3 linked regions of the Mus musculus genome follow. The protein of the gene in region 1 binds, or shares a complex with, the protein of each later gene. Links are inferred from orthologs where the notes say so. Each region holds a gene or a part of one and is shown on either strand. Other genes may lie near its edges.

Region 1 (3,608 bases):
GATTCTAGTAGAGCTTATTAATGGTTTTATTCATTTAGGATGATATTGGCCATGGGTTTGTCATACATAACCTTTATTATGTTGGAATATGTTTCCTCAGTCCTACTTGTTCTAGGGCTTTTATTAAGAATGCATGTTGAATCTTATCAAAGACTTACTTTTTTTTCCCTTCCATTGAGATGATATGATTCTTGTATTTTTGTCCATAAATGCAAAACAAACAAAGAATTGTTTCACACTGTAGTTAAAAATTGGCCTCTTCTGTTATTCATACCTCAGTGGTTGTCAGCCTTCATACTACTGCAACCCTTCAATAGAGTTTTTCATGCTGTGGTGACCTCCAACCACAAAATTATTTTCATTGCTACTTCATAACTGTAATTTTGCTATTGTTAAGAATAGTAATATTAATACCTATCAGGTTATTTGATGGACTTAGGTGACACTGCAAAAGGGTCATGTGATTCCCAAAGGGCTGGTGACCCACAGGTTGAGATACCCTGCCTCTGTAGCAGTAATGCAAGTGAATTGGTGTTTCCTGTCCCTCGAATGCACGTTTGCATTGGGCACCTCTCTGGGATTTAGGGCCATACACTGCACATTCCGAGGATTTGAGATCTGGCAAGTTCTTACTCTTTGGAACTCTCATGTAGGAATCTAACAGTGTTGGAATACATATGTTACCAGGGATACTAATATTTGCAACAGGTCAGTGACAGCATAAAAAAGTAAAGCAGGAAAATGGCTTACAGAGTACTTAGTACACTGAGAACATGACCACTTACAGTAGCATACAGTCAAGGTGTATGCACAGTGTGTGTTTTAAGTCAATGCATATGATAGGGAAATAAGATATGCTCAATATGCAGAGCTAAGACACTTGAGAAGAACCTATTAGGTTAAGGAAAAGAATCAGTGTGCTTTTCATCTTTACCTTTGTGTAGCCCAAAGAAGCAGAAGCTTTCCTTCTGAGTCTTTCAGAAGAAATTCAAAGACGACTTGAAGCTGCTGGCATGAAGGGCAAACGCCTGACTCTGAAAATCATGGTGCGGAAGCCAGGGGCCCCTATAGAAACTGCAAAATTTGGAGGCCATGGAATTTGTGATAACATCGCCAGGTAAACTTATTCTTTAAGAAAGGAATGTTGGTAGTTATATTCTGTGCAGCTTATTATAAGTCATACAACATAATATCAGTAGTAGTAGTTTGAGTTACAACTTACCAATCCTGGTGTTGTTAAGCAGCCTGTAGAGGCAGGCACAGCCCATGGTCACTTGACTTAGGTTTAATACCTATTGCAAAATACTGAATGTCAATGGATAATTTTTAAAGAAAAGATTTATTTAGTTCACAGTTCCTGGTGATGTAAGAGGCTGGTACCCTTCAACTGTCTGCCAGCCAGTGGCATCCCAGTGTCAGGAACATAGATGACAGACACAAGGTGAGGCAAGAAGCTAAACTGCTCTGAACGGACCAGTCTCGCTCCTCCTCCCTTCTGTAAACAAGTGCTCAGGACAGCAATGACCTAGTCAGTTCCTGTCCTTGTCTCTTTAGGCCCAGATCACTGACACCAGCATGACTGTGAACAGATCACATCTAAGTCCCAGCCAGGTGGCAGCCCGAGGCTTCCTCGGGTCTTCAGGCTGTTAACTTGAGTGTGTAGAAAGGAAAAGGGCTGCACATTAGCAAGACAAGGGGACGGGTGTGGTTTGTGAGAGACTGACTGGGATGTTCGTTTCCTGAGTAAATCATTAGAGCAACCAGAATCCTATCTGAAAGCTGTAGAAAACTGTTTTTTAAAACTATGATGTTTGATGGGCACACCACTTAATGTTTGTGACCAACACGAAACCACTTTTTAAAGTGGGTCTTTTGTTCAGCAAATTGTACTCTGACAAGCCAGTGTTAGGATCTTTAACAATCTGTCTATGAGTAAGGGTTATGATGTGAGTATTCAGTAAAGATGAGCTCATGTCAAACATGTTTGTTCTTATAAAGTCTCTAATACAGAAACTTAGTGTGTTATTGAAAGCATTATGTACTGGGGAAACAGGCAAGAAGTAAAACAACACACTTTATGTAGAAATTGAAAGCAACAATAATGGACATTTCTATGTGAACCTGGTTCTTAAGCATAGGTTTGTGGGTCAGGTGGGAGGGAGGCAGAGCTGGCTTTCTACCATGCAGTCTGTTTTAATTCCAACATTGTATATCCATATATACATTTTTTTTACATGCGTTAACTAAAAATTTTCTTGCCTAAATTTGTCAACTTTTGGTTTGCTTCTTCATGGCTTGTTTAAAGCACCAATGTTATGGTTTCTATGCTTGGGGGTGGTGGTCTTCCTGGCTTACTGTAAGGGCAATTATTAATAACTCCTTGCAATGTGTATATGATCTTTTAATGAATATATATGGAATGTGCATTTGTTTGCTTAAGAATGTAATTCTAATACTTACAGGACTGTAACTCTGGACCAGGCAACAGATAGTGCAAAAATAATTGGGAAAGCCACTCTAAACATGTTTCATACAATGAAACTAAATATATCGGATATGAGAGGGGTGAGTATCACACTGGCTCCTTCTTTCTGTATCGTGAAGTCTGGGCTTCCTCTGAGCTCGGTCCTGATGTAGTACCGGCGTATTATGGACACAATTTTAACTTCATCCATGCAGTCCACAGAAGGAAACAGGACTTCTCGTCAAGCCTCCTCATGCTGGTTCTGATAGATTAGATTTGTTACTGTGTAATTCTGTCTTCTGCACAATACTATTTAAATCTTACACGTCCTATTCCCAGCACTTGATGAGCACCCGTATCACTGCGTTCCTGTCCCAGCTCTGTAACTCTACTACTGTAGGGAGACTTTCATCATGCTAAGTAGATAGGTGGACCACTCTGCCATACCCAGCCTGCCAGCTTTAGAGACAAATCCTATTTAAAACCTCATCTGGGGCTGGTGAGACACTTGAGTAGGTACAGGCACTTTGGTTGTCATGGGCCCCCGTGCTTGTACTATACCAGCCTTTCCCCTTTAAATGTAATGAACCCTGTAAAGCACCCAGCACACCTATGGAGTACTGAAATCCACTTGTTTGGGTATTCTGATTTTAAAAGTCTTACTACCCACCACCATGTAAGTAAGTAAGATAAAGCTACTTAACTCACTGAGCCACAAGTTGTTTGAGGGACAACTCATAAGTAAGCTGTTGGTTTGCATTGTTCCAATGGATTCTTTATTCTAGAAACTGGATTGTTGGCAGCACCAACAATAACTGAGAATTTTGTATAGATGAATTCTTACTTTTCACTTTTGTTATTTTAGAAACCTTCTCTTTTATTTTGACTCTAGGTTGGTATTCAAGTGAATCAGTTGGTTCCTGCTAATTCAAATCTTTCCACATGTTCAAGTCGTCCATCAGCTCAGTCAAGCCTCTTCTCTGGTCGGCCACATTCTGTCCGTGATCTCTTCCAACTTCAGAAAGCCAAGAAACCCACAGAAGAGGAACACAAGGAAGGTGGGTGGCCCTCAGTGTGCGGCTGCTTTCTGCTCCACCAAGTCCTCGGGGAGTAAGAAGTTCCATTTTAAATCCACATGGGTCTG
Region 2 (3,501 bases), on another chromosome or scaffold:
TCTGATCTTACCCTCTTCAACATACATGTGGATATTTGCTTAAATAAAGGTATTATCCAAGAACTGAGAAATAGTGAAGGTAATTCAGTTAAACAACCCAAAGAAAGCTCGAGAAGTACTGGTAAGTGTGTGGTCGTTAAGAGGAATGCGTTGTGGGAGGAAGGGAGACAGGCCAGTGGCTAAGAGCACTTGCAACTCTTGGGTAGGACCTACAGTTGGTCCACAAAATGCATATGGTGGCTCACAACCATATGCTGTAACTCTAGTGCCAGAGAGTTTGATACCCTTCTTTGGCTTCACACACTCACGGTACACAAACATACATGTTGATGAAACATCAATACACTTAAAATTAAATTTAAAAAAATAAGAGGAATGTGATTTTCTAGGGATATGTCTCATTAAAATTACCGAAACTATAAATTTGAAATGTATACTATTAAAAGGATGGCTTGTGTTTGCTCTCATTTAGGAAAATATTAGTTACCTTTACCCTGGCTAGAAATAACTCAAAGTGAGCTTTTGAATTGAAGAGAAAGTCCAGCTTAGTTTTGATTTATTGTAGAATGAAGTTAAAGTTGAAGGATCTGAGTGATCCAGTCAAAAATGAAATTCCCTCAGGGAGCGTCTGCTGGTGTACTGTGACAAACTAGCTTTATTTATAGAGCCAGGAAGTCTTTTACACTTTGTTCTTGGTAATGCTGACTATAGCAAGATTGCAGAAACTAAGTTTAATGCCAGTAGAACTCTACAGTTATAAGAAACAGTACTGTACAAACTGTAAGTATATAGTTATAAAGAAACAATATTGTGAACTTAACTTTGTGGGGCTGGCATTGTGGCTGTGAGGGTACAGGTGCTTGGAGCCAAGCCTTTCAACCTGAGCTGTGTCTCTGGAATATGCAATGGAAGGAAAGAACTGACTTCTGAAAGTTGCTCACTCCATACATGTGTGCACATGTACATATGCACACACATGCACACACACCCCAGTTTAATTAATGTAACAATATTTTTAAAAATTAGCTTGGGATATGTATAATATCTTTACTCTGTTAATTTTATAGCTTTTGTGTCGCTTTTCCTTCATGGCATTTCTTGACTTTTCTTTCCCCTGCAGACAGACTTCAGAAGGCTTCAGGAAGGACCAAAAGGTAGGGTTGGCTTTGAGCTTGAGCAAAGAGAGCTTGTGCCCTGCTCTGAGCTTCAGTGCAGACAGCTTGTGTCCTCTCTGAGTTTCAGGGGCTCACCTCTGCTTTTTTACACTAACCGAGTAACATTTTAAAAGCTGTTTTTGCAGAACTCTTTTTCAAATATTTCCTTCTACATAGCAATTGTGTGCTCTTTCTCATTCCAGGCCAGGAACGAAGACAAAGAGCTCAACTTTGAAGAAAACAAAGCCCCGAGATCCCAGACACACCCTTGATGGATTTTTTAAATGAACTTTGAACATTTTATCAACGTTTATCATTGAAATTATTATTTTCATAGTCAATATATTTATTCTTCCTCATTTTAAATGTATTCCTTTAAGGAAGACAAGTGCAATAATGCCTCCCCTACGTGACCTTTTTAAGAATGTAGACTGAATATTAATTTATTTCATTTATGTTTTCCTTAATAGCCATGAGAATTTCATTCCCAGTATATATATATATATCTTAGTTGGAAATCAGTCGTGTTAGAGACAGTGTAAGAAGTGAGGTCAGAAAGTGATGCGTTATTTTATAATGGATATAAAATATTTCCAAGGACTCTGAGCCACATGGAGCAACCTCACCATCAGCTCCTCCATGCTTAGTCACCATGGTGCCATTGATGCTTCCGTACCTACCTGTGTGCATCTCTGTGTCCTGTGAGCAGATGCAGTTAGAATCGGCCATGATGTCCATGAAGAACATTAGCTTAACATAAAGAGTGTGGGCATGGCTGTTCCCTTCAGGAAGGTGATGCACAGTATTATCTGTGTTCAGAGGACCTGTCCAAACCTGTGATTTGTATTCTTACTTATCTTACATATAAGCACTTGGTTCACATAAATATTTAGTCCATAATTCAAAATCTTTTTTTTAACTCAGTACTTTAAATGGCAGTATTTAATTTCTTAACATTTATATTTGACTACAAATCTGCAGTAAACAAGGTAAGTTGTGTAGTTGCCTGGTTTTCATTCCCCTCTTTAGGAGAAAATAGACACCTCAGAAGATGTGCCCTGAGGAGTCACTGCACTTACCGTAGCTGCTTCTCTGTCGTCTCTGCTAATTGTTGTGGGAGAAAGATTTGCAGCAATTCAGAGGTTGCTGCAGATGTAGTACCACCCACAAGTTCTTACCAAAAAGCCCTTCCTGCTACTACTTTAAGAACTGAATTCTGCTGGGTTGTGGTGGTGCACGCCTTTAATCCCAGCACTGGGAGGCAGAGGCAGAGGCAGGTGGATCTCTGAATTTGAGGACAACCTGGTCTACAGAGTGAGTTCCAGAAAGAACAGCCTGGACCACACAGAGAAACCCTACTTCAAAACACAAAAAAGGAAAAAAAAAACCCTGAATATTTTTTATAGTCTTGCCTTTGCTTATTTTAATGCATTTATTATAGACAGAGAGATATTTGATGGTCCTTAGAACCGACCTTGTATGGCACAGTCTTAACCTGACTTTTAATTGCTAGACTGCTTAAAAAAATGGGCTAAAAGCTCGCTGACACACCAGACCCTTACCTGATATTATACACCACAACAGTTCCAACTCTGTGGTCCTTTGGTTATTGGTTGTGATTTACTTATGTAAACTATTTATAAAATTAAATTCAATGAAACTGATTTAATGTATTGAAAAATAGATATTACTGTATTATTTTCTTCCATCTGAAGTTTATTTTTGTTGTTTTCAACATTAAGTAATAAATTATTTTCATGTAGATGCTACACTTATTGACTGTCATATTTAATAATAATTTAAAATTTTTTAAATTAAGAATTTTTTCACACATACTGTTACATTATTTTCTTCTCTTGCTCTTTCTCTTCCAACTCCTCACATGTCCTCTCAATCCCTCTCAAATCTATGACCTCACTTTAAATATTGCTCTCTGTGTGTGTGTGTGTGTGTGTGTGTGTGTGTGTGTGTATAGCTCATATGTATCTGTATTTAGGGCTGACTAAACCGGATGACTCAACAGGGGGCTTGTCCCTGGAAAAGACTGACTACCCTCCCTCAGCAGGCATTAACGATGTGCAGCTTTTCATCGAGGAGTGGAGCCTTGTGAGAGTCCCCCCTTCTGTGTTGGCATGTTTAACTAGTGTCGTTGTGCAGGTCTTGTTTGACTGACTATACTGCTGAGATTCTGTGGGTATAACTTCCTTGTCACATGCAGAAGACGTCATCTGAGCAGACATCCCAGTCCTCTGGCTCTTACTGTCTTTTTTTTTTTTAACTTTATTTATTTTTATTTATATGAGTGCACTGTAGCTGTCTTCAGACACATCAGAAGAGGGCATCAGAT
Region 3 (3,608 bases), on another chromosome or scaffold:
ATAAACGTATGATTTTGAAGGAAAATCAAAAGGGTAGTAAAAAAGGCATCTTAGTAGACCTCCACGAGGAGCCCTGATCCTGGGACTGATGGCAATGAAACAGAGGTGTCTTCAGACAGGCTCAAGGAAAGTGAGGACGGAGAAGACCTGCACAGGAAGCCGGTGTGCAAGAACTATGAACGAGCCCTGGATTCAGTCCAAGGCAACAGAGCTTCTGGTGCTTAAGGCCTGGGAAGAGCTCAGTAATACCTGTTCCCCACCGCGAGGGAAACAATGGAAGTCAACAAAAGAGCACCAGCGCTGAGACTGGGACTGAGACTGCGTTGTGGTTGAGATGAAAAAAGCAACAGTACCCTGAGCTGGCGGGCATGCAGAGGGGCAAGAACAGAAAAGAATGCAGGAGCCTAAACACCTGTCTGTACCAGCAGCTAAGCCTCGGCCTTACAACAGGCCACTCCAAGTGACCTATCAAAACGAGTACTCAGGTTACAAATCACCTAATTTTTTTCCCTCCTTTTTTATTTAACATTGGAATCTGACTTGAAATTTGAAGATGAAAATTAAGTACCAGTGTCTACAATACGTATTCAAAAGGAAAAAGAGGTTCAAGGAAAAGCCATTCCCTAATGTCTCATTTCCTAGGTAACTAAGAGTGACAGTCTCCTCATCACAGACAAGATATTACATAACCTTTCTTGTCAGATTTAGTTTAAAATTTCAGAACACTCACTCTCTTTAAGAGGTACTTTAAAACTTCCATACCATTCACTCTTCCTTCTTCCTCCTGTTATTTCTAATAATGTTTCTATCTCATGAACATGAAGTCTTGTTACAAGAGAACTTACAGAATGTCCGTTCTGTATAAGACTGCCAGACACCAAGTAGGTAACATGCAGCTGAGCTCCCGAATTTTCTTTCCGTTTCCTTTCAACATATTCATAGAGCATCCTGTGCCAAACAAGACAGAAGTGACTCATTAGCATGCAGCTTCCTCATCGACTCCGGATTCATGACTTGGAAGTCATATATATGAAATCTGACAGTTTCTTCAACAGCACAATTTTTTACTTACTGAACAGATTTTTGAAAAAACAATGAAAAAACTTTAGATGGAGCATGGGACTGGAACCAACTTATCTGAGTTGGCTAAGACACCCAGGAAGTAACTGAGGTAAATCTAGAAATATGCCAAGAGGGACAGAACCCATAGTCAAACAGTGGCAATGGCCAAACTGCAGATACAAAAGTGAGTCAATTATCGAGCTATGGCATCCAGAATAAACTTTTCTTGGTTTCCTATCTTCAGGCATAAAGCACAAGTGGCATTACTACATGAATAACTCTTATAACCCGAAGTCATACACTGTCTGCAAGCCTCTATTCTCAAATATCAATAGTCTATATGTGCTTTCCTAGAGATGGAAAGGATTTGGGGTTTTTAGTAATTCTATGAGATCATTATGTTAAATACTTCAAGTCATCATATACATCATGACAAATATATATTCACCTGTTACTACTGAATTACATACAGTCAGATGTTTCATGATGTAGAATATAGCAGATGCTTACACCAGCCAACATCTAAAATGTTCATTAACCACACACTAAATGCAGAAGTGTTGCTTGCAGTAAAGTCTTTATTCACTTTTATCCCAACCACCCAAAATACCAGAAGTTGATGCCCCTCAATGGAGTTTAACAATAAAAAGATGCACATCATCTGTCTTTATTTCAAGAAATATTTAGCAAGCTTCTACAACATATCACACTTCAGTTGAGAACAGCCAGAAACTCAGAAATTCTGATAGCTAGGTATGGTGGTACAGGCCTTTAATTATCCTAGAGGAAGAGGCAGGTGGATTTCTGTGAGTTCAAGTCCAGCCTGGTCTACACAGTAAGTACCAGGCTTACTCCAGTAAGCCTAAGAAACCCTGTCTTCTCCAGACGCCCTCCCTCGCTTACCTTCCACGATACCCAGCCGAGTCCCCTGCTACACCTGCTCCATTTTTCCTGCAGTTTCTGTGCTTTCCTCTCCTTAGCCATCTTACCCTATTTTAGTATGACCAGTCACCCCAGTTTGCCTGACTCAGATAGGTTTCCTGGGAAATGGGATATGGTTGGTCACCCCGTGGTATCCTCCATTGTCTATTTTATTCAACTCCATGGCTTCGGTTTTTTTTCCCTGATGACATCATCATTTGTTCAAACCACCTTAGCCAGAAATCCAGGAGTCATTACCTTTCTCCTTATGCAATGAGTTGCCAAGTCTCATCAGTCCTCCCTCCCAACTAACTCTTGACTGGACTCTATGCTCTCCAACACGCTATACTAGACTATTTCAAGTCCAAGGGTCACCTGTATTCTCTTTTCACCATCATTATCTGTGAGGCTGTCATAGTGAAGTTTTAAAATGCAAGTCAGTAAAAAAAAAAAAAAAAAAAAAAAGTCAATAGATTAAAAAAACGAATCAAAACGTTCCTGAGTGCCCACTTGTGTTCTAAGCAGTAAACAAAGGAGTCACGGCTCCTACCCATCTGGACCAGCCATTTCTTTCCTAGAGCGTAAGCTTAAAATTGGTAGGAACTTGAATCACAGCCATCTGTCTGCCTCCCTTTAATCCTAGGGAGGGAGTCTGAGGCCAGCCTGGCTTACATAGGGAATTCCAGGCCAGGCAGGGCTATATAGGTTCCATCCATCTAATTCCTCCTACTCCAAGTCTCTCTGACACGGCTAGCCAAGCAGAGCACCTCTGCCTCCCGAGTGTTAACAGCTTACGCCCTATCATGCATTCTGACATCTACTACACCACACTCTATCACAGGTTTTTAAGGCTGCCTTTCCATACACCACCAGTTACGTAAGTACAAAGCGTGCACTATTTGTCAGTTTTACGGATTCTTCCGCCTTGCTCTCTCACATCTTCCCCACTTCAGAGACCACGTTAGAAGGGCAGATGAGGGGGTGGACTCTTGACTGTTGATGCTAATTAGGACCTGCTAATAGAAAACCAAAAAGGCAAATACCATGTCTACCATGCTCTCAAGCGTGTCAGCCAACTAGTCTTTTCTCCACAGCTCTTGACCTTGCCTGGGTCAGTCAGCAAACCACTGTCTTCTGCACAGGTTTCCCCAAATAAACCCCAGCTGTTCCCATATTAGTTTCTCTTCTCACTTGTTTTTGTTTTGTTTTCTTTTTAATCTATTTCCCTTCTTACTGAGAAGTTTACAACAAACTTTTTTAAAAAGGAATTTATACCTACTTTAACACGTTTCTTATTTAGTAAAGGCAAGTACTCCATTTCTGACAATAATATATGTGAAATATTCTTTAAAATGAGTGAAAAGCCTTGACATGCTGCAGAATGTTTCCTATGCACATGATGACTTACAACCTCCCCGAGACCCTTAACTTTCCTCTCCTTTAGCTCCCCTGGAACCAAACCAATTTTAGTCCTCCATAATATTTTTCCAATCTGAAGATGTCATGTTTAAGTCAATGAGGAAGGATCTTGTCTGTTAAATAATACTTTAAAAAAAGAACTAAAAACAAGAATTTGTTTTGTTTTCTCAAGAAAAGGTTTCTCTGTGTAGCCCTGGCTGTCCTGA

What was found. The genes of interacting proteins can lie anywhere in the genome.
Region 2: the proteins of Rev1 (region 1) and Polk are in contact, whole or in part, in an NMR structure (PDB 2LSI), measured with the Homo sapiens proteins. The link is inferred for Mus musculus from reciprocal best matches to the Homo sapiens genes REV1 and POLK. Residues at the interface, in NP_057400.1 of Homo sapiens: Asn1158, Leu1159, Ala1160, Gly1161, Ala1162, Asp1167, Leu1171, Leu1172, Glu1174, Trp1175, Thr1178, Ile1179, Met1183, Glu1185, Asp1186, Gln1189, Val1190; in NP_001374042.1 of Homo sapiens: Lys564, Lys565, Ser566, Phe567, Phe568, Asp569, Lys571, Arg572, Arg575.
Region 3: the proteins of Rev1 (region 1) and Pold3 are in contact, whole or in part, in an NMR structure (PDB 2N1G), measured with the Homo sapiens proteins. The link is inferred for Mus musculus from reciprocal best matches to the Homo sapiens genes REV1 and POLD3. Residues at the interface, in NP_057400.1 of Homo sapiens: Asn1158, Leu1159, Ala1160, Gly1161, Leu1171, Leu1172, Glu1174, Trp1175, Ile1179, Met1183, Glu1184, Glu1185, Asp1186, Gln1189, Val1190; in NP_006582.1 of Homo sapiens: Gly232, Asn233, Met234, Met235, Ser236, Asn237, Phe238, Phe239, Gly240, Ala242, Ala243, Met244.

The regions. Positions count from the first base shown.
Region 1 is NC_000067.6:38,056,631-38,060,238, reverse strand, and holds part of Rev1 (DNA repair protein REV1), read left to right. Parts: intron 1-944; coding exon 945-1,117; intron 1,118-2,462; coding exon 2,463-2,565; intron 2,566-3,356; coding exon 3,357-3,522; intron 3,523-3,608. UniProt on the Homo sapiens protein: Deoxycytidyl transferase involved in DNA repair. Transfers a dCMP residue from dCTP to the 3'-end of a DNA primer in a template-dependent reaction.
Region 2 is NC_000079.6:96,480,111-96,483,611, reverse strand, and holds the end of Polk (DNA polymerase kappa), read left to right. Parts: coding exon 1-121; intron 122-1,120; coding exon 1,121-1,154; intron 1,155-1,357; coding exon 1,358-1,442; 3' UTR 1,443-2,925; downstream 2,926-3,501. UniProt on the Homo sapiens protein: DNA polymerase specifically involved in DNA repair. Plays an important role in translesion synthesis, where the normal high-fidelity DNA polymerases cannot proceed and DNA synthesis stalls.
Region 3 is NC_000073.6:100,111,425-100,115,032, forward strand, and holds part of Pold3 (DNA polymerase delta subunit 3), read right to left. Parts: intron 949-3,608; coding exon 846-948; intron 1-845. UniProt on the Homo sapiens protein: Accessory component of both the DNA polymerase delta complex and the DNA polymerase zeta complex.